7 linked regions of the Sus scrofa genome follow. The protein of the gene in region 5 purifies or fractionates together with the protein of the main gene of each other region. This does not show direct contact. Links are inferred from orthologs where the notes say so. Each region holds a gene or a part of one and is shown on either strand. Other genes may lie near its edges. The genes, in order: SMARCC2, SMARCD1, DPF1, PBRM1, BCL7A, ARID1B and SMARCD2.

Region 1 (3,735 bases), on a different chromosome or scaffold from region 5:
GGCGTAGAGGGAGGCCCAGGGTCTGCGGGGCTGTGCTTGCCCAGTGCTTCTCCAGCCTAGCAATGGCCACTGGGATGGGCTTCAGGAAGGCTGGCCCCAGCCTGATCCCCCTGCCGAACAGCCACAGGTAAGAGAACACAGAAGGCATCCACAAGATGGAACTGAAAGCAAATTAATTTATAAAAAAAAAAAAAAAAAAAAAAAAGGAAAAGAAAAGAAAAAGAAAAAAGAAAATTTACAGAAAACTTTTGAACAGAAGGAAAGTGCCAAGACGCGGAGGAAGAGAAACATGGGGACATGAGGATCACAGGGCTTGGTGGGAGGGACTGGGAAGAACTGGTGGGGCCTGGAATCACATTTGCCTTTGCATCAAGGACGAAGAGGGGAGAGCTGGTACCGGGGGGCACTGGAATCCGGGGGAGCAGAGCCGGGCTGCCAGCTATGAGCCAGAGGTCGGCACAACCCTAGGCTGGGTGCCCCTCCCCCACTGCTGCCCCAAAGGCCAAGGGAATCCCTGGCTCCCAGCCAGGGTTCCGATGGTCTAGGTGGGAGAGGGAGGAGGAGGGAGGGGTGACCTAGCAAGTCATAAGAAGGAGGTGCTTAAGTGCTTTTTGACAATTTCACGTCTTAAAACCTTCCCGTCCCCTTCTAGCCCCCATCTCCGTGGCCCCTGGGAGCCCCCGGGAAGGGGGCAGAATAGCCCCCAAATGCCCTTTCTTCCTCTACTTCCTACCACAGGAATCCCCAGAATGTTTCCCCACCAAATACACATACGCTGACGTCAACTACGCAGGTGACTTTTAAAAACACAAAACTGACATTCAGAGGGAAAGGGGTCATTGGCTGAGCTGGGGTGGCCTAAAACAGCAACACTGAGGAAGCGGCAGGAGAGGTTAGTGGGAATAAACTGGGGATGGGGTGGCCAAAGGGGATCGGGAGCTGACTCGGTCACTAACTTGGGGCTGGAGGAGACGGATTCTGCACCCTATTCTATCCCAGAGTTCTCCCCAGAACCTCAGTTCCCCTTTCCTAAAACTGTCACCTCTCTCCTCCAAAAAATGTAAAAGTTGGATTTTTTTTACAGTGGGTGGAGGGAGCTCCAATGTGACTTTTCTTTATCTCTACTTCCTTTTGAAGGGCTTTTTTTCATCCATAAAAAAATGCAGTAGTTTTGAGGGGGTACACCCTTAGAAGTGGTTAATTAGAACCTTATATAAACACCTCCCCAGCCCTTTCTTTGAGGGCAGCATCCCCATTCTATCTTCTCTCCCAGACATTAGAAACATCTTTGCAGCAGAAGTCCTTGAATAATCCAATATAAAAACGCATGCCTCTGACAGGCACAGTGGGGGCTCTGGAGGGGCAGAGGAGCTTTCCTTACGTAGTGATGAACTCTCCAGGCTGGGGAAGGGTCCCAGTGGTGGGGAGAGGGCTGCTTCTGGAACCTTGATCTCCTTGGGGGGTGAGGGGGAGAGATGTCTGGCTGGCTCCTCACTGTGGGGGTGGCACAGGGGTGACTGTGCCTGGGCTCGGGGCCGTGGGATCTGGAGGCAGGGGAGTGCCTGGGTCTGTGGAGAGAAGGAAGCTGTGTCAGCTGGGGTGAGCAGGAGAGGGGGGCTCCAGACCCAGGCCACCAGGAAAACAATCGGGCATGGCATGCAATGGACAGGAGATGGAAAGAGTGCCCACAACGTCCAATTTCCTTCCCCCAAGACCCCCTCCTCCCACCACGCGCTGGGGAAACTGGTAGACCCCAAATCACCCTCCTGCCCCCAAGGGAACTCTCTAGACGGGGCACTTGAACGTGATGGGAACAAGCAAAGGCGATGGCAGTCATCATGCAAAAAAGTAGCTGTTTTTCCAGTTCACAGCTGAGATGCTCTGTGCCACAGGACTCCTCCGTGACCCACCAGTGACAGGCCCCAACGTCATCCCAGAAGTGGCAGCTGCCAGGCTGGGGAATAGTGGAGGACAGCCAGAGAGGCCCTTCCCTCCTGATTCTAATTTGACCAGAGCGTTCAAAAAGGATCACAGCAGCTCCAGTACCTGAGCCCCGCCCCACCTGCCCTCCAGCCCTCGGGTGGGCCCCTCCCCCTTCCCCTCTCCCCTCCAGGACCCTTCTCACCTGGCAGTGGGCTGGCACTGGGCAGGAGGTTGCCCTGAACAGCTGCCACAATGGCAGGGCTCTGGGCTGCGGCGGATCCGAGCCCCGGCCCGAGAGGCAAGGAAGATGGCATGGTGGTGGTCGCCGGCAGGTTAGGATGTAGAGGGTTCGCCATGGACACAGGCAGGTTAGGTGGGGGGAGAGTGGCCGGGGCGAACGGGAGATGGTGGTGATGCCCATGCAGGTTAGGAGGAGGGGGGAGGTTAATACTGATGGAGTCGGCTAGGCTACCAAACGGGATGATGGATGGAGCAGGGGGGGGAGGCGGCATGCCAAAAGGCAAACCCAAAGGAGCATTACCCGCCACGCCTGGGTGCCCGCTGCCTGGCACTGCCCCTGGCATCATTGAGGGAGGAGTTTGTTGGTTGGGAAACGGTGAGGGGCCTGGGAATGAAGAGGAGAGATAGGGAATATTAGAGGCATATAATCTTACTTGGAAACTCACTTCCCCAGCATGCATAACCAAGCCACTCCTAGGAACCACCTCCCTGTTTTTTTTTGTTTGTTTGTTTTTTAAACTAGAATAAGTAGTAAATCCTTGGGATAAAATTCCAAGGATCTGGTTTGGGGAAGGATCCCTGCTGACTCAGGGACAGAAGTGAGATGGATCTGTAGAAACTGAGGCTGATCCTTGACTCCAGTCCTATCACAACCCCTTCGAACGGAACTGAACACTCAGCCAGACCACTCCAAGTTGGAGTGAGTTCCTACAACCCATCACTTACCATGGGGTCCAGGGGGGGGTACCCCTGGTGGGACTGCCCCAGGCTGGGGGGCTCCAGCTGGTTGTTGCTGCTGTGGCCCCACAGCTGACCCTGCCGGCCCAATCTGTTCAGAGGGGCCCAAGCTTCCGGGAGGGGCCCCGCTGCCGGCAGGAGCAGGGGCCACAGAAGCCGGAGCCATAGCCAAGCCATGGACAGTCGGTGGCCCTGCAGCGCCTGTAGGTGGGATAGGCTGGGAGCCTGGGGGCAGGGCCGGTGGTGGCTGCTGCTGCTGTTGGTGCATTTGCTGGAAGTGCTGCTGCCGGGCCCGCATCTCTGCATACTTTAGCTGCTCCATGTGGAAGGCTTGTCTGTCGGCCAGGAGCTGCTGCCTCTGATACTCGAGCTGCCGGGGGCCACATGAGTATTGTTACGCAGGTTTACACGATCCCAAAGGCAAACCCCTTGCCCCCTGCTTTGTCTTCGGACAAACCTGCATGCCCATTCCGACAGGTGCCCACACCAAATCTCAGTCTTGTGTTTGGCTTCCTCTGTCCTCCCCCAGCCTACCCCCTCAAATCTCCCCGCCAGGTCCCTGGCTGCCCACCTCACTGCAGTGGGGTTAGTTTGGTGGTAACTCTTGTTCTTTTCAGCTCCAAAGCTTTGAATCTGTCATTACTTTAATTTGGAAAATGCTTCTACTAGTTCCTCTTGTCAATTCATGTTCTTTCCTTCCTTCAAAACTGGAGGAAGGCTCATCATCCTTAGGAAGCCTTCCCAGATCAGCTCAATAGCCTCTGCCCTCTTGGCTTTTATTCTGTTCTGTCTCAGGATTTGTGTGTGTGTGTGCTTTTTAGAGCTGCATCCACA
Region 2 (4,083 bases), on a different chromosome or scaffold from region 5:
AGGAACCGCAAGGCTACAGGTTCGATCCCTGGCCTTGCTCAGTGGGTTAAGGATCTGGTGTGCCGTGAGCTGTGGTGTAGGTCACAGGTGTGGTTCAGATCTGGCGTTGCTATGGCTGCAGCGTAGGCCAGCAGCCGTAGCTCTGATTCGACCCCTAGCCTGGGAACTTCCATAAGCCATGGGTGCGGCCCTAAAAAGTGAGGAAAAAAACAGTTTCTCCCTCCTCACAAGGAAATGACTGCTATAGTTTCTTCTATACTATTCTCCCTATTACAATAAAATTGATCCTGAAAATAAATTGAAATAAAACACACATCATGTAAAATAAAGTAAAAAGTGGCCTAACTCTAAGCAGAGGAATACAGGACAAACTAGCTTCTATTGACCCAATGTATAGACTGTAGGAATTGCTATTAGCTGAGTGAGGGTCTTATGAGAGGAAGGGCTTCAGTGGACTGAATATGAAACAAGGGAAAAAAGGCAGAGACTACATCCAGTCTGAGAACAAAATGCCTTCTTCCACTCCGTATCTGCCTAGAGATGCCTTGCGCCTCTATCTCTGAACAGAAAAGCAGATGGAGATGACGGATTTGGAGTCTCAGAAATGCAATGTCCTACCACCCTGAGAAGATGGTAGCTCATCATTGACGAGCTGGTGAATGTCTAATAGCTGATTCTCCACAGCAGAAGATCAACAAAAAAAGCCTTGACTTGTAGCATTTGCTGACGGCTGTGTTTTAAATATTCTCAACACGACTGATTTCAACATGCCAGCATTTTTTTTTTTTTTTTTAATATGCCAGCATTTCATCACTGATCATGGAGCTGGGAAGGCATGTGCAATAACATGTCATTATGTGGTATGCCACCACGCAGACTCAAAAGACGTAAGTAATCTCAAAAACACAAACATGAGAAACCAGTAATTCAGAAATGATGAATATTTGAGTACATGCTACCCCTGTTGTTGTTTTTTTCTTTTTTCTTCTGGCTACTGCTGCGGCACGGGGAAGTTCCCAGGCCAGGGACTGAACCCGCACCACAGCAGTGACCAGAGCCGCAGCAGTGACAATGCTACATCCTTAACCTGCTGAGCCACCGGGGAATTCCTGTATTATCCTTATTTTTAATGTAATGTATCTAATCACAAACAGGGACTGTGATAAACAACCTGTTTGCAAAATTCCTGAAAATTTGCGAACTGACCTGTGCAGCTATGAGCCAGCTCCAGGACACCACTGCCCCCATCCACACGCTTACCTGATGACGTGATTAATGATGATCGGCTCTGGTGGCATAAGCAAGGCGTGGAGCCGTTGGGGGATCTCTGAAAACTTCATACGCTGAGATTCAAAGATCTGTGGGAAAGAGGAAAAGCAGCTAAGAGCACAGCTAGGGCTCCAGTGGCCTCGAGCAAAAGAATGGGTCCTTTTCTCACCTGTTGGAGGTACTTGTCACAGATGACAAACTCCCGTTCGTGTGGGTCCTGGAGCTTATGTGTCTTAATATATTGCCACAGTGCTTGGATGATCACTGGACGGGTCTGGGTGTGGATGCCCAGCAGCCGAGCCAGTCGAGGGTCTAATTTGAACTGGGGAGGCTGTAGAGAACCAAAGAGGATAGATTCAAAGCTAATAGGCTGGCTCTGTGCACATTACAGGGTGCTCGGCGTGGCCATCTTCAAGCCATTCAACCAGCATTAATGCTGGGCTGTCTCGGGGGCAGACAAACACTAAGGGGAGCCCAGGAATGACTAAGACCCTATCCCCATGTTTAGAGAGCGGAGGGTCTGGTGGCAAAGTATCCACAACTAGACTTAAAGCTTTAAATGTCAGATGGCTGATGGGCTGTGGCTGTGAAAGCTGGACCCCCTCCCATGAGCACAGAATACCTGGTAATCCAGCATCAGTAGCACAGTACACCGTACATTCACGTCTCCTGGCCGCTTCACCTGGAAGCCATCCGTCTCCTGGGTAGTGGCGGTCCTGTGCCACTACAGAGAGGAAGATGTCAGGGGGCGCTCTCCCAGAGGAAGAGCTGGGGTGGGAGGGAAGAGCTTCTGTAATGACTGAATATTCAACTTTGATTACTGAGGCTACTGGAGAAGAACAATAGCATGAGGCATTAAAAAAAAAAAAAAAAAAAAAACTGCATGTGGCTTTGGGATTCTTGTCAATAAGTAGACTGACCTTTTAATTCTGACTGCTCGAGACCACATTTAAATCAGCCTGAATTTTCAGTGATAATTTTATCCACAAAATGGATAATATAACATGCGTACTGTAAAATAACGTAGCTCTCGTCTACTGAGTGCTTACTACATGCGAGGGTTTTCTAAGACTTTTACTCGGATCATCACATTTAATCCCTACAATATCCATATGAGACAGGCTCGATTAAACCTATCTGACAGAGAGGAAACAAACACGCTGAAGGCTAAAGTAAGATGCCTAAGGTCAACAGCCAACGAGTGGTGGAGCTGCTCTCTGAGCTCGGCCGTGTTGGATTCTACAGTCCACATTCTTAGCCACTATGTTCTACTGCTATGAAGTTAAGTTAAATACAGTTACACATGTCTATCGATTCTGTGACTTACTTCCCTTATAAGATGGTAAAGACCTTCCCAAGTCTCTTAGTGGCTGAGGTTAAGGGGCTGCGGCTACACTGGCAAAGAAAGGAGCAGGTTAAGTTCACTTGGAGCACCGGACCGTCATTCTGGTTTCCACTGTATCCCAAAGAACACAGCTGCTGACACGTCTCAGGTATGCTACGTAATCAGGCATTATAATAAAAGCTTTCTGATGATTTGGAATGTGAATCTAAACAAAGCAGGGACCAAAAGTGAGTCCCAGATTCGTGCAAGTAGCCTTGGCAAGGACTAGAACCCTATTAGTTAACCCCCTTTAACACAGTACTTGTTACCAGGAAAAAAGCAGAATGGTGTGTGGATAACTACATCTCACCATTATTAATAAACAAGATGAAGAGATGATCTGGCATGTACAAGAGGCCTCCATCAGAATTTCCCTTGAAAGTGGGGCAGCAACTAGGATAGTCAAATTAAAAAGGTGGGACAAGTCAGACTACAAGAGCTCTTGGGTCCAAATGGCACCAGAACTAAACAGCTAGTGCCACCTGGAGGCCAATGTGCAAACTGCGACAGAGGTACCGTACACCTGGCGTGCCCTTTTCTCATACCTCCCCCTCTCCTTAGACATTAACGTTTGGCTCCCAAGTCCATCATCCTCCAGTCATAAGTCAAAGCCTAGAGGAGAGAACTACTCACTTCTACCAGATGGTTGTCTGGCCCATACAGGTCTTTGTCCAGTTCGATCACCAAGGACTTAAAAAAAGAAGAGAACTTCCTCTTTTGCTTGGTGGCATCATATTTGGACAAGGCTGACTAGAGGAGAGAGAGAGAAGAGGTCACATTACAAGAGACCAGAAAAAATTCCTTAAAACAAAGTACCATAAAAAAAGGAACCCAAACAGCAACAGGAAGAGACCCAAAAATGTCTTCTGAATATCTCTTAGGAGGTGGCAAGGTAGGTGTCTGTGGATATTAAACAAGTCACGGTAGCAAGAGAACCCCAAAGCAGCAGCCTATAACACACATAGGGTCACTGACTTACCCACCTCATTTCCCCAAAGGAAAGGAGGTAAGTTAGGCCAAACCTCTGCACACAATAAAGCGAGTCTGAACAGGGAAAGGTCTGACTCTAGAGGGGAAATGAATCACAGGTAATAAGCAGCCAGAACAAAAACTGCTTTATTTGGATGACATGATAACACTGGCAGATGGACCGGACCTATATAGAAAAGAAGGAGGCTCTGACACGAGCCCTGGTTCTCCTGAAAAATGCATTCATACTGGCTTGCCTGTGAACAGCTAAAAATAGAGAGCAAGAGAATATAAGGGAATGGCAGGTGAGCTTCCCCAAGGAGCTTCTGGGGTGTGAAGTCTGGGGGCTATCACCTGTCAGCTGATGTTCCCCATGAGGCAGCAAAGAGCCTGTCCGAGAGACCTCGCCCATGGAAACTGTGAAATGTCTCCAGTGGAAACTGGGAAGACGGCAATACTGC
Region 3 (3,670 bases), on a different chromosome or scaffold from region 5:
CACCCACAACACCGGGGCAGCCACATTCTGTTAACCACTGCGCTGAGCAGCTGCATTCCATTACCCACAGCAGGATGGCCAGCCCGCCCTGTGAACCGCGGGCACGTGGCAACCCCAGCCTCCCAGCCACGATGCCATGGCAACCGCCTTCCACAGAGGGGTCTCCACGCTCTGGTTCCCTGCGACCCAAGCCCATTACACATGATGCCCCAACCACCACACCGTTACCCACGTGACTATGCAGTGGGCCAACCCCCTGGCCATCCCCCCACCCCCGTGCAGACACCCAGCCGCTACCCGGGGCCACGACAACTACCTTCCACTACACCCAATTGTCACAACTGTATTTCACTGCCCGTAATACCATAACAACCACGATTCATTGGCCACCGTGCTGAGGCAACCGCAGGCTACTGCCCACAGGTCCACCTCGGGAAACCGCTTTCTATTAACCACACCTCGGTGGCAAGCGCTCTCAGTCATCCACAACACCCAGGCAGTGGTAATCCATGACTTGCTATCGCAGCCCGCTCCCCACGAGGTTCTGGCCACCCTCTTTTACTGCTCCCCACGCCATGGTAAGCAGGTAGCAGTACTCGCAACGCCAGAACCACCACAGCCCCTTATTCCCAGAGCCTCCCCGAACCCACTGTTTCCCGTCATGCTCAGCAGTGATCCTCGGGGTCCCCCAGATGCTCTGCATCCCCCCCAGTCCTCACTCCTCCACCTCCTAGCCTCCAGATCTGGACCCTGGCCCCCAGAAGCCTCAGGTGGGGGCATCACCTGATCGCCCACAGTCGGCACAGGAGATGAGGTCCTCGGGACACCCCGTCTTCTTGGAGCCACCCAGGCAGAAGTCACAGTAGCCGTTGGGGATGACAGTGCCGTCAGGTGCCTTCTTGGCTGAAAGACAGCGGGCAGGGCTTGGCGTGGGCAAGGCAGGGGCATTCGGTCAAAGGCTGCTGCAAAAGTCGGGGCGGGGGGAAGCGTCCCTACCTGTGTGTTTCCTCTGTGCCTCGGGGACCCAGGCCAATTCTTTGTAAAACTCTGGGGGTGGGGGGGACAGAGAGAGGGGCTCTCACCATAGGCAAGGCTCCACCCTGCCCCCAGCCTCAGCCCCAGGGGCGGAGCCCTTGTCCAGGCATGGAGGGGGAGGGGAGAGGGAGTGGCTACCCCAAGCTGTGAACAAATAATTCTCATCAGGACCCCCCAACTCTTTGAGCACAACTGCTGCATCCTCTTTATTAGGTAAAAGCCTGGCAGATACAGCTTTAGGAAGAGCCCCCCACTTCCCCACGCACACACACTTCTACCAGACAGCCACCCCCAACAAAGCCCCAAAATAAAAATTAGGCAGATCCCACTGGCCAAGATCTCATATGGAAACAGGCATTTCAGGAGGAAAATTCTGCACACAGAGGTGGCTGGGTGTGTAGTGGGGATGAGATGAAGAGAGTGCCCTCTCCCGCCAAGGGATGGGTGGGAAGATGGTTTCTCCACTGGCACAGCCTCCCTGCTCCAAGCCTTCCCCCATCCCTCAGCTGTCAGGGTTGGCACCGGACTGGCATGGGCAGCCACCAAGAGTTCCCGGGCCACAGACCCTGCCCCTTGGCCCAGGCTTAGCAGAGAACGGAGAAAGGGAGGCAGGGACGGAGGGGAGTCATCTATCACCCCCCTCCCCAAGCTCTAATTGAAACAATAAATCAGACCCAGAAATATTACGCCCGGCCGGGAGCGAGGGAGAGATGGTTGGTTGTCATGGCAACCCCAGAGCCAGCATCCCCATGGTCGGTGGGGGGAGGGGACCGCTGAGCTGGGGCTTTTCCAGAAATGTCTAACGTGCCCCCTCCCTCCCGGGCTGCTAGCCCCCACTCGCAGGGCCCCTCACCACCCCACGCCCTGCCCGCCTGCTCACGTTTATGGTTGTTTTTCCGGTGGAAGGGCAGGGCGTGGCGTTCGGCGTTCTCCTCCCCCTCCTCCTCAGCCAGGTGGGTGTGGGTGTAGTGGTAGCTGAGCCCTGGCCGGTTCTTATACCGTTTCCCACAGACTGAAGAGTGAGCAGGGAGGGCCGGTCAGCCCCCTCCCAGCCCATGCCGCCTCCACCCTGGCCTCCGGGATCACATCTCCTCCCTCTGCCAGAGGCCTGTGCATCCCCCCCCACCAGGGTCCAGAACAGGAGGGAGGGGGCTGGGAGGGGCCAGGTCTCTGGGCCCCACTCTCTCTCTTCCCCCCTCTTCAGAAGGACTCACTATCACAGACATACGGCTTGTCTCGGTCCTCCAGGGAAGCGGTGTCCTGGCGTTTCCGGAGACCTCCGATGCCATATGCCTGGGGAAGAGTCTGGAGTGAGGGGCCAAGAAAAGGAGCAAACTAAAAGAATTTTCCTCATTTGGGCCGGAAATGCAAATCACAGCTCTGCCGCTACCTAACTGTGGGCCTTGAGTAACTCCCTTGACCTCGATCAGTCGTACAGGTATGAGGATAGTTCTAACCCACTGGGCAGTCTATATTTTGCAAATGGTTTCATAGATCCACGCCTCAATTTCCTCATCTGCAAAATGGGTATAAAAATCCCCTACCCCTTGAGGCTGCTCTGGGGATTAAATGAGATCAGACTGGGGCAGGGTCTGAACATTGTGCAGCCTCAATAAATGGGATCCGCGTTGAGGGGAGGGGTGAGGAGCAGAAACTTTGGGGTGATACCTTTCCTTTGGCCCTGTTCTTCCTCCTGGGAATGTCATCCTCCAAGTCTTCCACTTCGAGATCGTGTGGAAACTCCAGCAGCTGCTGTTTCTGGGCATCAGGAGAAGGGAGATTGGGGTTAAGAAAACGGGACACTGTTCTGCTTTGGGGGGATGGTTCTGCATAGAGGAGATTGGGGGTGGCAGGGCAAGTCAGAAGGTCTCCCAAAAAGAGATGAGGTGTGGAAGGATGGAGACTTAGGATGCCTGAAGGACCTAGGGAGCCAGTGGAGATCTCAGAGCAGGAATGGGATGGGCCGGGGCAGGAGGCAGGGGTGAGAAGGCAGCTGCGGCCACCGGGGTGGGGGCGCCGCCGGGGTGGGAGTTGGGGGGGCTACCTGACAGTCCATAATGGTCTCCTCCTCCTTCAGCTCTATCTTCTTCTCCCCCGTCTCAGCACACAGTAGAGCCTCAAGGACTGGTCCTTCCGGGAGACCACCCTCCTTCTTCAAGGGCGCCTCACAGTCTGGGGATGAGGCCATGGGGGTGGGGGTGGGGTCAAGTGGAGAGGTTGTCCCCAGAGGACTCCTCACACTGCCCAGGCTGGGGAGTCATGCTCTTTGCTGGTGGGAAGAGGCTTCCCACACTCCACTGGCAATAGACTCAGAGACTCAACCACATGCACTGGAAAGGGGACTGGACCCTGGGGAAGACACAGCCAGACCCTCAGAGCCGCTTGGGCACACTCAGCAGGAGATGTGGCCAGACCCTCTGATATACCTACATACGTATAGGAGACTCCACCCAGACCCCTACACCTGGAGAGAACAGACACCCAAACAGGACCCACGGGGACACACGCAAGGGAGCTCCACATGGATCATCTGCGACAGCCAGCCCCACAAGGGAAGAGACACACCCTGATGCTCAGATACACCTGGACCCATGGAGGAAAATATCCAGACCCTTGGGTCCACCCAGAGACACTC
Region 4 (4,083 bases), on a different chromosome or scaffold from region 5:
TGGCTTAGAAATGATATGAACTCTGCATAAAATTCTAGTTATTTCCCTATAGTCAGAATACACCTCTATTTTCAAGGTAATTTTCTTTTGACAGCACAGTTTCCTGAAACTGAAGCCCATGTTTAATTTCAGTGGTAATGCAGTGCAACCAGGCTCAGCTGTATGCAGTGTATTAGGACAGTAGGGACACAAGGGAAAGGTTGAGGAAGTGCATGGTTACATGACCTTTGTGGAAGCTGGGGATATATTCTTGCTGTCCCCTTACAGGTCACTAGTACCTCTGGTTTCTAACTGGAGTCACTAATGCTGGCAGAGAGGGGACACTGACATCTGATAGAGTGACACTTTGAAAAGGGATCATCTGGAAGCAGAGCAGACTTGGTGCTATCACTTCAAATGCAAAATGACAAAGCGAAAAAGAAAGATTTCATGGTTCTACTATATTCGTACTATGTATAAAATACAATTCCCTTGGTGACTCCTCATAAACAATTTCTGTCTCAAAATGAGTTCTGCCTCACAGGTCCTAGCTGATGATAATGCAATGTCCTAAATTTAATGTCTAGGGCTATTTTATTCTCATAAAAGAGAGAAAGAGGCAAGGAACCCAGCTCATTAAAAACTAATAAACTACAACTAAAACCCTGGAGAGCTGTTGTTTTAACCTTAAACAAGTCCAGCTTGCTGCACAGAAGGATCAACAGGAGCTAACTTCATATTCTACAGTTTCTCTGGAGTCAAAAGGTTGATATTTTGACGAAGCAGAGCCAGCCCACTATTCTAAGGTTCAGAATTGCTAACTATCACTTCCAAGAAGTATTAGAAAAGAGTAAGTGAAAACAAGCTTTCTGTTTACAAAGCAGAAATTTTTATATTCCAAGGATCCAGAAGGGTACCTGGATCACAATGGTAGGATCCTAACACTTATTTCTGAGTGAGTGAAGAGGCTGCAGTGGGTAAGTTGCTGCGCCAGCAACATATTATTAACCCCTGCCTCCCAAAGACACTCACCTACTTTAAATCTCGCAACTCAGTGGGCATCCCTGAGCTGCCGGTAACAATCTTTGCAGGGCAGCACAAACAAATCAACAACTAATCCCCTATGCTTCCTCTGTTTACAAATGCCATGCCAGGGGCAACTGGTGAGAATGCAGGCTAAGTCACCGGGGAGCTCACTGCATCTTTCTCTCCTTGAAGCCTGATCAGAGGTGTAAGCGTGTGTAGGCACTAAGAGGGGTTCTTCCCTGACTTCCTATCATCAGGAGAGTGGTGCCTCCTTCAAATGCATTTAGAATCTGAAGGGGGGGGGAATGGAGAGAGCTGTCCCTCAATACCTACCAGAACATGCTACCTGGAGGGTCCTGGCCTTGGCTGTGGCTCCCATTGAGTACCACATGCACCTGGAAGTCAACTCCAGGCTAGTCTGATTGTTCAGTCAGATACTCGGTGCCAAGGGGAGAGGGCATAGCACAAAGGCCAATTGTGCCTATCACAGGGACCATCAATTTTATGACTGACATTTGCTGCAAGAGCAACTCACACATAGTCCACCATTTCCATAATGAAATACCACTCCGACAAACCTTTTCTCCTCTGGGTTATGTCTAGAGCAAACACTTCTGTGGAGTCATGGCCATTGTCTGTGTGTTGCTGCAGGCTCTAAGCCAAGCCACCAGGTTTGCTCACCCTACACACTGCTGGGTACACCTTCTGAAGGATTGCTTGAAACTCTTTATAGCTCTGGATTGGTAGGTCTAATACTGCCATGATGTTTTGTCATCTGGGCCGGGCCTTTTTTTATTTCCCTTCTTTCTTTGGCGGCATCGCAGCATGTGGAAATTCCAGGGACTGAACCTGTACCACAGAAGTGATAACACCGGATCCTCAACCTGGTAGGCCACCAGGGAACTCCCTGCGTTTGGCCTTTAGCTAATATTTTGGATGATGGACCAAATTCTATTATAAGTCATTTTAAGGTCACATTCCCTCCAACTAGATTATAGCTAAGGGTCAGTTCTTTCGCATATGATGGCACTTAATATGAGAACTTGTGATCTTCCTTTCATAATAATCTTTCAACTTACTATTTAATTATAAGGTAAAACTGTAGCTATTTCTGGACTTCATTTATATGCTTCTATATGAAATAACTTCTGAGTTTCTGTCAATAGACAAACCAGTGTCTATAGTTAGTAGAGGGGGCTATGCTGTTCTTTAAAATGTTATGTCATGCTTCTTTGGGGACTCGGGTACAGAAAACTAGTTCAGTACAAATTTGTTCTCTCCTCCTTTTTATTCCTTGACTGAAGGATTTCTAAAGAGTTTTACATTAGTGACTTAGAAGGGCTGTTTGAAAAGCAGGAGATGGGGCAGGGAATCTACACAGAGGACTCTGTGAGATAAGAACTGAATCGGAGGAAGAAATGCACTTAGGAGCAAAAAGTGTTTTTTATATGTCACTCGGAACTAACAATTTGGTAATCTTCATTCACTGATAAAGAGAGCAAAGCATAACCTTCTAGGCTGTGTTTGGCTTTCTGAGCACATGAGAAATTGTTCTGAATGATTTTAGAGTACACCTCCTGCCCCTTGACCTGCTGAGTCTGGTTCCTGCCATGTGCCCCATGCTGCTGCTAGACAGCCAGGTGCCCTAGAACACAAGTGCTGAGCCACCTGCTCAACACACAGGACAGGCTCTGCTGCTGACACTTCTGGGATTCTCAGTGAGGGAAGGCCTGCCCACATGGATAGCAAGTACCTCCTGGAACAACTGGTTGAGGGAGGAAAAAGAGAGTATGAAGATGAGATTAATGAGCGAATGAGGATGAAGTTCTTACCCGGTGGTGGGATGCCCGAGAGGCCAGGCACACCTGGCGGAAGATGGTGGGGTGGAGGCCCCCCAGGGTGAAGTGGCTGCATGCTGCCCATGCTAACAAGGCCATCAACTGGGCCCTGCAAAGGTGGAAGGCCTGGCGGATAGCCACCCATCATGCCTTGAAGGACACAACAAATTTCAGACATGCATCATTAACATGCAACATGAGCTAAGTAATAACAACACCCCTACCCCAACATGCACTAATAATGAATAAAAGCGCCCTTAGTACTGCATGATAAAACGGCAATTAGTGCAATTATTTTGTTGCAATAATGAACAAAATAAAAAGTTACAAATATGAAATACAACATTTTTGGATGAATTAGTACTTAGTATATGATTATTTGTAGTTATTTTCCCTGGGATAAATATGCTACATGTTTTCAGTTAAATAATAAGAAAGAGGAGTTCTAGTAACAGCCTTCACAAGGTCATGATTATTGCAGACTGTTCAAAAAGAGTGACCAGTTCTGCCGACTGTGATTCCACTGAACAGTAGACAACCCATCATTCCACTCTGCCACACTCATATGCCTATCCCGGGTACACATGAGGGGAAACTGGAATGGAGGGAAATGAGGCGCACAAGCCCTGAACACAAAGCATGGTTCTCCAGCATGGAGGAGGTGGGCAAGAATTTTTCAAGACTTCTATACCCAGTGCTTCTCCCTTCTAGCTCCACCACTGCTGGTAAGAATGGATCATGCTTAGGCTTGAGCTGGGAACAGCTGAGAGCTATCATAATAAATGATGTTTCATCTATAGATTTCAAAACTTGATAAAACCTAAACCCTCCCAAGCCTATCTAAGCCCAGGTCACTCAGTAGCCTGCATGCAGACCTCAGGAGGAATGGCTGGAGAATCAGGCTCTGCTGATACGAGAAAATGCCAATTGTCATCATTGCTCCAAGTTCACAAATGTCCTCACAAAAACCTTAGGTTAACAGGGAACATTTTAAATGAGGTATGGAATTTCTGTGAACAGAGGTTTTTCTTCCTTTATTTTCAAAGTGCATCTTCACAACACAAAATATTTTCTGCTGGCTAGGGAAGAGTCTCAAGAAACAAGTATTTTTTAGCAAAAAGAATGAAAGGAAGAAAATAATTTCAAAAGGTCAAAGACTCACCTATCAAAAGAACTTTAAAGCCACATGATATTTTTTTAAGCAGGAAAAACAACCTGATTTTTCTGGGATTTGAAATGA
Region 5 (4,686 bases):
CTCTCAACTCTTTCCAAGAGCACCTCACTTCCCGAATCGGAGCCTTCAACTCTGAGAAGTCGGGAGCCCCTTAGGAAACTTGCATTATTGCAGCCACTGCCACACACCGGGGCAGCGGACACGCCGCCGCGCTGGCTCCCCAGGAATGCGCCCCCTCCACGGCCGCTCTCCCGGGGGACCCCCGGCACCTGCGGCCTCCGAGTAAGTGTCCGCGCGCACGTCCGTCCCACTGCCCCAGCGTGACCGGAGCCGGGGGTCGCCATGTGCCCTTCGCCGCCTCCCCCGGGAGCAGGGGGTCGCGGGCGCCTCCCCCGGGTGGGCGGAAAGGCTCGTACCGCTGCCCCGCGGCAGCAGCGCCCGGAGGCCGCACTGCCGGCTGCCGCGGCGGCGCTGCTCCCCCTGCTCCGTGCAGCTGCCGCCCGGCGCTTGCGCAGTGGGCCCTGGGCGCGCGGCGGCACCAGGCTTTGTGTGTGTGTGTGTATGTGTGCGAGTGTGTGTGTGAGTGTCTGTGTGTGTGAGTGAGTGAGCGGGCGGGCGGGCGCGAGTGTGGCCGCCGCGGAGCGCGAGCAGGACCCGGCGGGCGCGCTCCCCCAGCCTCTCTCTCCCCGCCAGAACCATGTCGGGCAGGTCGGTTCGAGCCGAGACCAGGAGCCGGGCCAAAGATGATATCAAGAGGGTCATGGCGGCTATCGAGAAAGTGCGCAAATGGTAAGCGGAGGCGCCTGCTCCCTCGCTCGCTCGTTCGCTCGCCGGCTCGGCGCTGCGGCCGCCCCAAACCCCGAGACCAGATACAAAAAGCCAGCGGGGCGCAGCGCCCCGGTCCGCCCGCGGGCCCGGGAGTTGAAGAGGGCGGGCGGCGCGCGAGCCGGGTCACCTGCGCGCGGCGGGGGCCGCGGCCGCAGCCCAGGTGCGCTCGCGCCTGTCGCCCACCTGGCGCGGCGGCGGCGGCGGCGGCATCCTGGAGGCGGCGGGCGCCCGGGACCGGGCGGTGGGGCGGCGGGCAGTCCCCGCCGCGGCGCTCAGCTCCCGGGAGGGGGGCTCAGGGCCGGCCCCAGAAGCCATTTCGTTTTGTGCAAGTCACATGAAAGCGGCTTCCCGCGCGCCGGGGCCGCGATGCCGGCGGCGGAGGGGAGAGCGCGAGCTCCATTGTGCAGGCACCGAGCGGGCCGCCGCCGTCTCCGTCTCCTCCCCGCGCGCCCCGGGCGTCGCAGCGCCGGCCCCCGCGCCCTTGCCCGCGCCGGGCCTCCCTCTCTCCCTCCCTCCCTCGCTGGCTGGCTGGCTGGCTCGCTCGCTCCCCGCCTCCCAGGCCCGGCGCCCTCGAGTCTGCGGAGTTTGCAGAGCGCGAGCCGTTTAAATTTAGCGCTTTGGGCTGCCTGGAGCGAAGGCTCTGGGCGAGGAGGAAAGATGGGGGCGAGCGCGAGGAGGAAACGCCGGCGGCGGCCGCGGGCCCTGGTGCTCCGGCGCCCCCCTCCCGTCCCGCTCTGCCCGGACCCGGGCTCGGGGGCTCGGGCGAGAGAATGTTCGGGGCCAGGCCCGGGTCCTGGGCAGCGTCTGCCTGTCCAATACGGGCAGCTCGTGTTTGTTTTGCGGAGAGAGCCGTCGTTTTTGTTCTCCGCGCGGGGGGCACGGGGGATTCGGTGTTGGCGGTGCGGGTTCTCCAGCTCACATTAGATTCCGTTCGGCGTGGCCTTGTTGTAATTAACACGACTGCACGTTTCCCCGGCCTCGTCCGGGTCTCTCTCGGAATCGGCCCAAGGGCCAGGCCCCAGGCGCCAGCCGATCGCCAGGTTGGGGCAGACTTGTTGAAAACTCCCGGCTCCCGGAATTCAACTTTATTATTTTTTTCCCACGGCCTCACCCGGGTCAGGGAGGGAAAGGAGCCGCCGCGACGTTCGAGTGTCAGCGCCCGCGGGCCTGTCCTGACCCCTTATTTAAAGCCTGAAAACCCGGCAGGCCCCATGGCAAGCTATGTTTATGTTGAGGGGTGTCATTTCTCGAGTAACGCCTTGGTCTCTCAAAACCACTGGGGACGAGCCTCCAGTCTAGCCGTGTCACAAGTTAGCTGTCCTTTCTGAGTCAAACCCAACAAAAAAGGCAAGAGGAAAATCAATAAAGTCCACGTGCTCCTGGGCCTCCTATGGAAAGGGCTGTCTGCAGATGGCCGGATGCCCGGCCGAGGGCTGGGTTTGGCTCCAGTGGGACAAAGAATTTTCAGAACCGTGAGAAGGAGAGGCCTTCCAAAGTTGAGATCCAAGTCTTCCCCGCTGTGGGAGCTCCCCTGGTGTGCAGGGAGCCCAGTGCCCGGACTAGAGCCATTTAAAAATGGCAGAAACAGCTGCAGGCCAAGACACACACAGGAAAACAAGCTCACAACCCCCTCTCTGGGAATCCCGGAGTTGTCCCCTGCCTTAGATCTCTGCAAAGAAAGAACTGTTGTCTGGGTCCTTCTGTCACCAACCTGGAGGTGAGAAAGGGGTGGGGGCAAGCAGCCTTTCTGTGCTTGGGGAGGCATGGTGGGGCCTTCTGCTCCAGGTTCCCAGCCTGGCAGAGGCTCCAGCACCCTGGCAGCTGCTCAGCAGGGGTGGGGCAGATGGAGCTGTGGGGTTTTCCACCCTGTGGGCTCCATAGCAGCCGGCCTGGTGGCCCTCAGTACTGCTGAGCAGCTGGGGGCAGGCCTGTGTTTGGGGGGAGGGGCAGAGAACCAGTCTCTTTCCCTTTGTGTGTTTTGGGAAATTATGTGTCAAGTCCTCTGAAGACCCCAGGCTTTGGAATCTCATGGCTAGGCTTGCAGTTCACTTCCTTGCTGTGACCTTGGATTACTAACCATTTAACTTCTCTAACGGTGGTAGCAAGGGGTTTCTGTGCTGTCTTCTCCCCTCCTGGAATAGTACCATGTCTCCAAAAGCACTTAACCTGCACATAGGAGCAGTCATTAAATGCTGTCCTAAGGTAGAAACTTACATTGTGCTGATTTTTCTTCTCCCCCCCAACTCCCGCCCATTCTAAGCAAAAAAAACCAAAAACACTTTACCTTATTTCCTGGGTTTCCCCAGCCCTGAGAAGCCAAATCTCACCCTCACTATGCCTTTAGAATGCATCTTCCAGTCAGCCCTTGTGGTTTTCAGTTGTTTATTAACTGTGTGGCCACCAACCGTGCATTTCACCACTGGCTGGGACACTGGGTTGCCAGATTTAGCGAATAAAATTACAGGACACCCCCCCCCAGTTAAATTTGAATTTTAGATAAACAAGGAAATAATATTTTTATATACTTTTTTTAGTGTAAGTATGTCCCCATGTACAGTTTGGGACATACTTACACTTAAAAAAAAAAGTCATTTATCTGAAATTGAAATTTAACTCTGCATTCTGTTTTGTTTTTAAATTCAGAACGGAGTGCCTAGCATACCACTCTGTCTGTGAGCCTGGGGTGGTATTTCTCCTCAGCCCCAATGACCCCTAAAACTTGCCCCCTTCTGCCAACCCTACCTTCCCCCGCCCTGGAAAAAGCCAGCAGCCAGCCGTGGCCACGTGCATAGCTACCTGCCATTGCTCTGCTGCTTTCTGTCTGGTAGGTATCCCAGCAGGGCGCACTGGTGGAGTTTGAGGCAGCCAGAACATGGCTGAAGGAAGACCAAAATGGTGGGCTCTTTGTGGGGAAACTGGGTCAGGGTTAGGAGGCCCGGTGTAAGTGGAGAAGAGCAGGCGAGAGGGGCAGTCATTGGGCGGAGGGTCCCTCAGTGACTTGTGGGGTCAGAGAGAGGCCTGTTCCCCAAGACTCCCCACCCGTCCCTGGGGAAGGAGGTGGTTTGTGCCTAGACCCTTCCCTCATCACCTCCAGGGACACCCACCCTCCCACCCCAGCCCAGCATAGGGCAAGTCCAGTGGGCCTGGGTCTAGTTAGGATGAGACCAGCCATTGCCAAACCTCCTGTGGCATCGAGGACTAGCTCTGGGAAGTGGAGATGAAATGAGGCGTTCAGAGCCCTCTTTGAGGGAGGCAGGTGACCGCAAGATGGTCTCCCTGGCTGCCTGGCCCGTGGGGGAATGTAAGAAATTGGCTTCAAGAGTTCCCGTTGTGGTGCAGTGGTTAACGAATCCGACTAGAAATCATGAGGTTGCGGGTGCGATCCCTGGCCTTGCTCAGTGGGTTAAGGATCTGGCGTTGCCGTGAGCTGTGGTGTAGGTTGCAGACGTGGCTTGGATCCCGCGTTGCTATGGCTCTGGTGTAGGCTGGCGGCTACAGCTCCGATGAGACCCCTAGCCTGGGAACCTGCATATGCCACGGGAGCAGCCCTAGAAAAGGCAAAAATACAAAAAAAAAAAAGAAAGAAAGAAAGAAAAGAAAAGAAAAAAGAAATTGGCTTCAGCCTAGCGATCTGGGGAGGGCGATGCCTGTGTTTGGTGCAGGAGCCTGTGCTGGGAAGGAGCATTTGGGCCTCATTTACTCCCTTTGTCCAGGAGCTCAAGCCTGGTAGGGAAGAGAGGGGCATTTAGCCAGGTGGGTTATCAGGGGCCAGAAGGCAGGAGAGTACAGGGTATGTTGGGGGGGGGGGGCGGAGGTTGGGCTTCCCTGGTGCTTGTGGTGAGACTTGGGAGATCTGAGGAAGCCACAGGGCCGCATCTGGAGAGAGCCACTGCTCCTCGGGCAACATGGGCCCCTTGTGGCCAGATCGTGTTTTTGAAG
Region 6 (3,710 bases), on a different chromosome or scaffold from region 5:
TAACCCCGCCGTCGTTTTTTCCAACTGCAGTTACTCCTGAGGCCTGGCGTGTGATGATGTCCCTTAAGTCAGGTCTCCTGGCCGAGAGTACTTGGGCTTTGGACACTATTAACATTCTTCTGTATGATGACAGCACGGTCGCTACGTTCAATCTCTCCCAGGTAAGCCGGCGCCGGTCCAGCCGAGGACCAGCACAGAGTGAGAAACTGAAGGAGCGCGTGGTGCCCGAGCCAACGAGCGCTCACCAGCTCGAGTTTGTCATCACCGTGGTTGTTACAAACCACGTCAATCGGTATAGTTTTCTGAGAACTTTCTCTAGAACCGTCATTTCTCTTAATCCTTAATGTAAACACACGCACACTTCTATTTCTCATAAGAAAACAGTGACCTTGTGTACACACACGTGTATGTGTATGGAGTAGACAAAAGTGGTAAAATGAAATGGTTGTTGAGAATGAATATCAGCAGGCCAATGGCAGTTAATCCAAATGTAACAAAGTGATGGCTCTAGTCAGCGGGGATGTACAGTAGGCTGCAGTGAGACACCACCCTATTTTCCAGGGGAACCAGACCTCTTTCTCTTAATTGAAAAGAAATGTAAAATTTAAAAGCAATTTTTATATTACAGAAAACATAGTATATATAGAAGGAGAGAAAACGGTTTAATGAAGCCCTTGTACCCGTCACTCAGCCGCAGCAGTGATGAAGTCATGGGCCAGACTTGTGCCTTGGTCTGTTCCCTCCCATTTCTGCCTCCTTCCAGGTTATTTTGAAGCAATCATTTGAAAGCTCCTACTTTTGGAGTTCCCATCGTGGCTCAGTGGTTAACGAATTTGACTAGGAACCATGAGGTTGCGGGTTCGGTCCCTGGCCCTGCTCAGTGGGTTAAGGATCCAGCATTGCCATGAGCTGTGGTGTAGGTTGCAGATGCGGCTCGGATCCCACGTTGCTGAGGCTCTGGTGTAGGCCGGCAGCTACAGCTCCGATTCAACCCCTAGCCTGGGAACCTCCATATGCCGCAGCAGCGGCCCAAGAAACAGCAAAAAGACAAATAAATAAATAAATAATAAAATAAAAACTCCTACTTTTAATGAGCTTAAAACCTTCCTTTGTTCTGTGCGAGGCTTAAAGTAGCTTCCAGCATAATAGCCAGAGGAGAGAAAGGGAGCTGAGAATTAGGAAAAAGGCCCGGGAGTCAGCTGGACTACAGACTTCTTAAGAAATATTTAGAAACAAAAATAAGGCAGGGTTATTCTTCCTCTGCTGTGGAAACAACTCTCTGCATTTGCTGAAAAAAAGCCAGAACATCGGCCACCCTTCTGTTGAGCTGGAGCCCACACCTTCCACTCCTCTTCCTTCTCTCGTTGGAGTCTGCATTGTTGCCCTGAAGGGCAGTTTTTCAGTTGATGGCAAGTGTGTTAATAAGGTCCCAAACATCTCATGAAGTCCATTGTAATAGAAAGTAAGTCTTAAAAGACGGTCTGCTGCCTTCGCCAGCACAGTACACGTTGGTCTTTGTGCTGGGTGACCTCCTCTCGAGGGCGCGTGTTCATGACCAGAGTCGCTTTAGCAGCCCTCCCTCTTCCCTCGCCCTGGGGACGAGCTAGGCTTTAAGGGGGACAGAAGAGGTGGACATCGGACCTCGACCTCCACTTGAAAAACTGTGCCTTCATACCTAAAAGCAAGTGCTCTCTGCTTGGGCCTGGGTTTTCCCTTACTTCTTTTTTTTGTTTTTTTGTTTTGTCTTTTTAGGGCTGCACCTGCAGCATATGGAGGTTCCCAGGCTAGGGGTCTAATCAGAGCTGTAGCTGCCAGCCTACGCCAGAGCCACAGCAACATGGGGTCCGAGCCGTGTCCATGACCTATACACCACAGCTCACGGCAACGCCGGATCCCTAACCCACTGAGCGAGGCCAGGAATGGAACCCGCGACCTCATGGTTCTTAGTCGGATTCATTAACCACTGAGCCGCGACTGGAACTCCTCCCTTACTTCTTAATAATCGTTTCAAACCCACCTTCAGGAAACCAACAGCAGAATATGAAAGTGTGGTTGATTTCTGTGCCACCTATCATTAAGGAATCCTTTTTCACTTACTTAGCCTTTATCGTCCCTAAATGCAGTGCCGTGGGGGTGGGGAGCAGGCAGCTGCTGGGCACGGAGTGTGTTGGTCTTCTTGATGTACATATACATTTGCTCAAAGGAAGCAAAGGTGGTGCTCACAGTGGCTTTCGTCTTTCAGCGCAAGTTGTGACTCACAAACTTCAAAGTGCCTTCTATGAAACAGTCCAATTCCTTTATCAGAGGCTAAATTGATTTGTTTTTAATTTTGTGTATTTATGAGCTACCGCACTGCTGAAATTATCTTTTCCCCAAAATATATGGAGAATGTAAATTAGAATAACTTACGGCATCTAGGACGAAAATAACCATAAAAGCCTAAGAGTAAGAACCATAAACATCCAGGCAAGCAAAGTTTCAGATAAATAAGAGAACAGACTCACTTTGGCTGAAATTCTCTCCTAGTTATGGTGGAATTGTATCTAAATGAGAAACAAAGGGGAAGAACAGCAAAGCACTCCCGCACTGATCATTTCAGAAGTATGAAAATAACGAGTAAGTTGTCATGTGGAAAGTGAACAGGAAATAAGACAGTAACTCTTGGTTTGGTTAATAATGAAAAATTCAGAAAGGTAGTTCTGACTGATTCCTGGTTTCTCCTTCTTGGCCCAGCCAAAAAGGAATAAAACCGTGGAAATAACCGTAGAAACGCATGTCTAGCTCTCAGGATGCTCGCCCTCTCAGTCACACCCGAGGTTATGACACTGTGCCTTTCTCCTTCTCGCCCTCTCCAGTTGTCCGGATTTCTCGAGCTTTTAGTAGAGTACTTTAGGAAATGCCTGATTGACATTTTTGGGATCCTTATGGAGTACGAAGTGGGAGACCCCAGCCAAAAAGCACTTGATCACAACGCGGTAAAGAGAGATGACAGCCAGTCCTTGGCCGATGAGTCTGGGAAAGAGGAAGAAGATGCTGAATGTATGGATGAGGAGGAGGACGAGGAGGAGGACGAGGAGGAGGGCGGTGGGAAGCCGGAGCCGGAGGACAGGAGCGGCACGGCTTTGGCCTCCCCCGACGCCACCGCAGACCCAAAGGAGAAGCCCAGGCAAGCCAGCAAGTTCGACAAGCTGCCGATAAAGATAGTCAAAAAGAACAACCTGTTTGTGGTCGACCGGTCTGACAAGCTGGGTCGTGTCCAGGAGTTCAGCAGCGGGCTTCTGCACTGGCAGCTCGGAGGCGGGGACACCACCGAGCACATCCAGACTCACTTTGAGAGCAAGATGGAAATTCCTCCTCGCAGGCGTCCGCCTCCCCCGTTAAGCTCCACAGGCAGGAAGAAAGACCAGGAAGGCAAAGCGGATTCTGAAGAGCAGCAGGAGAAAAGCATCATCGCGACCATTGATGACGTCCTGTCTGCCCGGCCAGGGGCTCTGCCCGAAGACGCGAACCCTGGTACCCAAGCCGAAAGCAGTAAGTTCCCCTTCGGAATCCATCAAGCCAAAAGTCACCGCAACATCAAGCTGCTGGAGGACGAGCCGAGGAGCCGGGACGAGGCCCCGCTCTGCACCATCGCGCACTGGCAGGACTCGCTGGCTAAGCGCTGCATCTGCGTGTCGAATATCGTCCGGAGCTTGTCCTTTGTGCCTGGG
Region 7 (4,083 bases), on a different chromosome or scaffold from region 5:
TATAGATCCGCAGCTTTCGTTTTTGCTAAAGAGAGAAAGACAACCGGTTAGCTAGAGGGGGCCCAGCATGTGGGAAAACACTGCCACCCAGTCTTCCCTCTGGACTCGTTCAACATCAGTGCAGAGCAGTGACGCTGGGCCAGGCCCCTGTTAGGCAGTGAGAATTGGGAGTAGGGAGTCCCAGGCCTGGCCTTCAAGGAACTCAGTTTTGTAAGATAGACAGATGCACTGCCAAAAAGCCAACAATTCCAACACAGGTGGTTCAGTAGAGTGACAGAGGTTCAGGCAAATCAGAAGCCTCTGGCTGGCTCCTTTTTTTTTTTTTTTTTTTGGCCTGCACCCACTGCCTGTGGAAGCTCTCAAGCCAGGGGTTGAATCTGAGCCATAGGTGCAACCTAGGCTACAGCTGTGGCAACATCGGATCCTTAACCCATGGCACCAGACCAGGAACTCACTCTGGCTCATATTTTTAACGAAACTCAAACACCCTTCGCGGCCCCAGAATATCATCTCCTGGAAAGCCTTCTACATTGAAGGGACTGTTACAGATTATTTATTAAAAAAAAAAAAAAAAAGAAAAAAGAAAAAAAAGCTGCTCTGGGAAGAAGGTAAGAACCATCTTTATCTACCCTGTAGTTCTGCCTTTGAGATCTTTTTTTTTTTTTTCCAGCTGCCCCTGGGGTGTACAAAAGTTCCTGGGCCTGGGATCAAACCCTCACCACAGGAGTGACCCAAGCCACAGCAGTGACACTGCTGGATCCTCAACCCACTGCACCACCAGGAAGTCCTGCCTTTGAAGCTTCTGACCATCATCTACAGTATGTACGTTTTAATGCCTGATCCAGGATATGCACACACGTGTATAAATGTCAGAAACCAAAACATCATAAAATAATTCCTCTACTCTGTGAGGAATTACTGTAATTCCTACTCTTTGGCTTTTCATTAAAAACATGCTGGCCCCCACGTGATGTTGAGTTCGTGCTCCGTGAGCTGGACCCTGCAGAATGAAAAACCCTGCACCAGCCTGCGGCAGACCCTCACTTGGCCCCTGGCAAACACGTCGGGAGAGGAGGGGCAGAGAAGCTGGGCAAGGCCCAGGAGTGGTCCAGGGCTGCACACACCGTCAGAGGCTTTTTGATGGCCTCCTGGATCTCCATCCGCTTTCGAGCAATGGTCTGGTCCAGCTTCCGCTCAAAAGCCAAGAGATCCATGTACGCCTGAGACTCTGGGACAAGCTCCCGAATCTGGAGGAAGGAGGGAGAAGGGATTCATCGGCTTGTCTCAGGTGCGGCTCCGGCTCCTTCCTCCTTTCCTCCCCCACCCCAGGGCTGGGGGAGACTGACTCCAGCCCCAGCCAACCAGCCCTTGGACGGGCCTCCTAGGCCCCCTTCCAACAAACTCACTCGCTGAGGTAGAACTTTATCTGCCATCTTCCTCCTCTTTAACCTGGAGGACAGAAACCCACTTAAGAGGTCAGTGGTCCAGAGGACCTCCCCCCCATCTACCTCTCCAGCCCCCAGGACCTTCTCCCAAGAGAACCGGGCGTCTTCCTCAGTCATCCCAGCTCTTAGGACTGAAGGAAACCCTGTTACCACCAGGCCGATTCTAGGTGGGGTGGGAGAAACAGGATGGTCTTACCCCCGGCGCTGGGCAGGCATCGGGGGCTGGGCCTGGGGCACAAGCAGGCGTTTTCGGAATGGATCCATCATGGTGGGTGGCATGCCAGGTCGAAGTGGAGCAGCTGTACCAAATGGGGAACCAGCAGGGGGTCCCACCTGCAAGCCAGCCATGGGCATCCGGCTCCCAGGTGACATGCCAGGCCGCTGGAGGAAGTGAGCCAGTGGGGGTGCATAGGTCAGCAGCGGGGCCCTTCGGGGCCCATAACCCATTCCCTCCATCCCTCTGCCCAGCCAGGCCCAGCCCTGAGCAGCTCACGGCAGAGCCCGGGCAGGAGTGCCAGGAACAAAGGGGAGCAGACGCCCGAGAGCAGAAGTGTAAACCACACCTGCCCCACCCCTTTCAACCGCCCTGGCAGCGGTGCCAGCGAATGAGGCCTGCAGAGCCCAGCAGGTGGGAGGAGAATCCTGCCTGCAGAGAGAAGAAGGGCCTGGGGACCTTTTCAGGGCCCATCACCACCTTCTAACCACCTTGCAGTCCTGGCACACACTGCCCTGCTCCCTGGAACCAGCCAGCTTCAAGGCACTCCTACAACTCTGATGGTCCCACCAAACACTCCCATCCTTCTCCTTCTCCCAGCATAAGGGAGAAGCCTGGGGGCAGTGTCCCTGCCAGGTGGTGGGAGTAATGTGATAAGAGCAGGCTGATGGGGCGCAGCCCCAGCACCCAGTCTGGTCATGTGATTGAGGGGAGAAAGGCAGTCCAACTGGCTGGCAGGCCCACCAGGCCATGGCACCCCAGGTGAGCAAACTGCAACAGGATGGCCTGGAACGTGTCCCAAGTGGGGGAGTGGCCTCAGGCAGAGTACGGAGACCATCTGGTCGCCATATGGCCCCTACTCACATCTCAAAACTGGACCCTTCTCTTACCTCCCTGCTTCCCGGCCCCCAACCCCTACGCCAGAACATCCCAAAGGGGACGCTGTGGCTCCTGAGCAGCCTGTGGGAGACAGAGCAGCTGGCACCTGCACTCTGCCCGTGGTCCACGCACCACCTGGCAACTGGGGCTGGCTCGGGCTCAGCGTAGCCCTGGCAATCCCAAGCTGGAGAATGGAGATGAGATTATCCCGGGATGCAGGCATCAAAGCCTCAGGGTCACCAGAGGAAACTGGGTGAGAGGTGGCTTCTTTAGAGGCCTGCAGAAGGACTCCCCACCGAGGGCCAGCTCCCCAACACCTCCGTGGAGCCCATGTGGGAGTAACTCCCGCCCCCTTCGTCATGGCTGCTCCTGCAAGGCCTGTTTGGCAGCTCTGCCTCGCGCACACACTGTCCCTGGCAGCTTCGCAGGGCTGGCCCCAGGGCCCAGATTATGCAACCAGCACAACCAGCCAACCAAGCCAGGCTGGGTGGGACTCGCACCAAATCAAAAGACCCTCACCCCGACCCCAACATCACGGAGACGAGATTCCCACTTCTCTTCATTTAGCACTCGGCCCATGTTCTCACCAAGGAGGGTCAGATTCTTGAGCAGATGCAGAGATTGAGAGAAACATGATTGAAAGATACGGGGAAGGGGGAAGGAGTGCTAGGAGGAGGGAGTTACACGTGGGGGGCTCTGGGACCTGGAGTCCCGCCACAAGGTTCCCTTCATCAGGAAGAGATTCACCTGAGCTCACGAGAGGCAAAAGACAGCCTGTTTCTCTGCCTTAATGAGCCACAGCTAGAGATGACAGAAAAAAACTCAGGGAGCCACAGCTGTAAGCCCAGCCCCAAGCACCCTAGACGTGAATTTCCCCCCAGCGCCTGAGCTGAAGGGGAAGAACAACCAAAGCGGCAGACCTGCAGGGAGAAGGCTAAGGCCTCCTTGCCAGGGCATCCGCACAACCTCCTCAGCGACAACCACCCCAGGCGGGTGCTCCTGGAACAGGAAGTCCTCAAACCGGGTGGCACAGGCAGGGCCTGAAAGAGGCCTCTCCCAGATGCTGCTCCAGATCCCAGGTGCAGAGCCCCCAGCTCGCGCCGGGCCCCAGGCTTCTCCCGAGGGGGAAGGGGCCCAGGGAAAAGCTGCTTACAGTTCACGAAGTCCCAGCTCGGCCTTGCCAAGCTCCATACCTGGGCTCAGAAGCACCAGTAACTCCTCTTCTAAAAAACGACGCAAGAGTTAAAAAAAAGAGAGAGAGAGAGAGAAAGAGAAAAAGAACACAGCCCTGAGCTCAGCGCCCTGAGCTTCCGAAGTAAGCAGCCCAGAAGCGGCCCAGCAGCGGTCCATGCCTTCAACAGGACTCTACCTCCACCATCTGGGACAGCAGGGGAGAGAGGCCAGCCCGATGTTGCTGCCTCCAGAGAGCATGCTCTGCCAGGGCTCAGAGCCTGTGGCCCTGGTGCTCCTGGTGGCTGGGCCTAAGGACCAAGGAGAAGAGAACATACCCCCACATACGTAGAAAATACTCTGAACTCTCTGGTG

What was found.
Region 1: the proteins of BCL7A (region 5) and SMARCC2 purify together in Homo sapiens (affinity purification with mass spectrometry; 4 studies listed by BioGRID and IntAct, counting the BioPlex papers as one, with this or other methods). This does not show direct contact. The link is inferred for Sus scrofa from reciprocal best matches to the Homo sapiens genes BCL7A and SMARCC2.
Region 2: the proteins of BCL7A (region 5) and SMARCD1 purify together in Homo sapiens (affinity purification with mass spectrometry; 5 studies listed by BioGRID and IntAct, counting the BioPlex papers as one, with this or other methods). This does not show direct contact. The link is inferred for Sus scrofa from reciprocal best matches to the Homo sapiens genes BCL7A and SMARCD1.
Region 3: the proteins of BCL7A (region 5) and DPF1 purify together in Homo sapiens (affinity purification with mass spectrometry; 3 studies listed by BioGRID and IntAct, counting the BioPlex papers as one, with this or other methods). This does not show direct contact. The link is inferred for Sus scrofa from reciprocal best matches to the Homo sapiens genes BCL7A and DPF1.
Region 4: the proteins of BCL7A (region 5) and PBRM1 purify together in Homo sapiens (affinity purification with mass spectrometry; 3 studies listed by BioGRID and IntAct, counting the BioPlex papers as one, with this or other methods). This does not show direct contact. The link is inferred for Sus scrofa from reciprocal best matches to the Homo sapiens genes BCL7A and PBRM1.
Region 6: the proteins of BCL7A (region 5) and ARID1B purify together in Homo sapiens (affinity purification with mass spectrometry; 4 studies listed by BioGRID and IntAct, counting the BioPlex papers as one, with this or other methods). This does not show direct contact. The link is inferred for Sus scrofa from reciprocal best matches to the Homo sapiens genes BCL7A and ARID1B.
Region 7: the proteins of BCL7A (region 5) and SMARCD2 purify together in Homo sapiens (affinity purification with mass spectrometry; 5 studies listed by BioGRID and IntAct, counting the BioPlex papers as one, with this or other methods). This does not show direct contact. The link is inferred for Sus scrofa from reciprocal best matches to the Homo sapiens genes BCL7A and SMARCD2.

Annotation. Positions count from the first base shown.
Region 1 is NC_010447.5:21,563,245-21,566,979, forward strand, and holds the end of SMARCC2 (SWI/SNF complex subunit SMARCC2), read right to left. Parts: intron 3,272-3,735; coding exon 2,890-3,271; intron 2,549-2,889; coding exon 2,126-2,548; intron 1,569-2,125; coding exon 1,492-1,568; 3' UTR 718-1,491; downstream 1-717. UniProt on the Homo sapiens protein: Involved in transcriptional activation and repression of select genes by chromatin remodeling (alteration of DNA-nucleosome topology).
Region 2 is NC_010447.5:15,995,340-15,999,422, reverse strand, and holds part of SMARCD1 (SWI/SNF-related matrix-associated actin-dependent regulator of chromatin subfamily D member 1), read right to left. Parts: intron 3,404-4,083; coding exon 3,287-3,403; intron 1,994-3,286; coding exon 1,892-1,993; intron 1,601-1,891; coding exon 1,439-1,600; intron 1,359-1,438; coding exon 1,261-1,358; intron 1-1,260. UniProt on the Homo sapiens protein: Involved in transcriptional activation and repression of select genes by chromatin remodeling (alteration of DNA-nucleosome topology).
Region 3 is NC_010448.4:47,144,288-47,147,957, forward strand, and holds part of DPF1 (zinc finger protein neuro-d4), read right to left. Parts: intron 3,208-3,670; coding exon 3,080-3,207; intron 2,794-3,079; coding exon 2,704-2,793; intron 2,329-2,703; coding exon 2,250-2,328; intron 2,048-2,249; coding exon 1,916-2,047; intron 1,048-1,915; coding exon 997-1,047; intron 904-996; coding exon 784-903; intron 1-783. UniProt on the Homo sapiens protein: May have an important role in developing neurons by participating in regulation of cell survival, possibly as a neurospecific transcription factor. Belongs to the neuron-specific chromatin remodeling complex (nBAF complex).
Region 4 is NC_010455.5:34,695,521-34,699,603, forward strand, and holds part of PBRM1 (protein polybromo-1), read right to left. Parts: intron 2,994-4,083; coding exon 2,838-2,993; intron 1-2,837. UniProt on the Homo sapiens protein: Involved in transcriptional activation and repression of select genes by chromatin remodeling (alteration of DNA-nucleosome topology). Required for the stability of the SWI/SNF chromatin remodeling complex SWI/SNF-B (PBAF).
Region 5 is NC_010456.5:30,695,175-30,699,860, reverse strand, and holds the start of BCL7A (B-cell CLL/lymphoma 7 protein family member A), read left to right. Parts: upstream 1-1,483; 5' UTR 1,484-2,165; coding exon 2,166-2,464; intron 2,465-4,686.
Region 6 is NC_010443.5:9,793,916-9,797,625, reverse strand, and holds part of ARID1B (AT-rich interactive domain-containing protein 1B), read left to right. Parts: intron 1-30; coding exon 31-161; intron 162-2,855; coding exon 2,856-3,710. UniProt on the Homo sapiens protein: Involved in transcriptional activation and repression of select genes by chromatin remodeling (alteration of DNA-nucleosome topology).
Region 7 is NC_010454.4:15,094,533-15,098,615, reverse strand, and holds part of SMARCD2 (SWI/SNF-related matrix-associated actin-dependent regulator of chromatin subfamily D member 2), read right to left. Parts: intron 1,827-4,083; coding exon 1,642-1,826; intron 1,450-1,641; coding exon 1,407-1,449; intron 1,248-1,406; coding exon 1,125-1,247; intron 26-1,124; coding exon 1-25. UniProt on the Homo sapiens protein: Involved in transcriptional activation and repression of select genes by chromatin remodeling (alteration of DNA-nucleosome topology).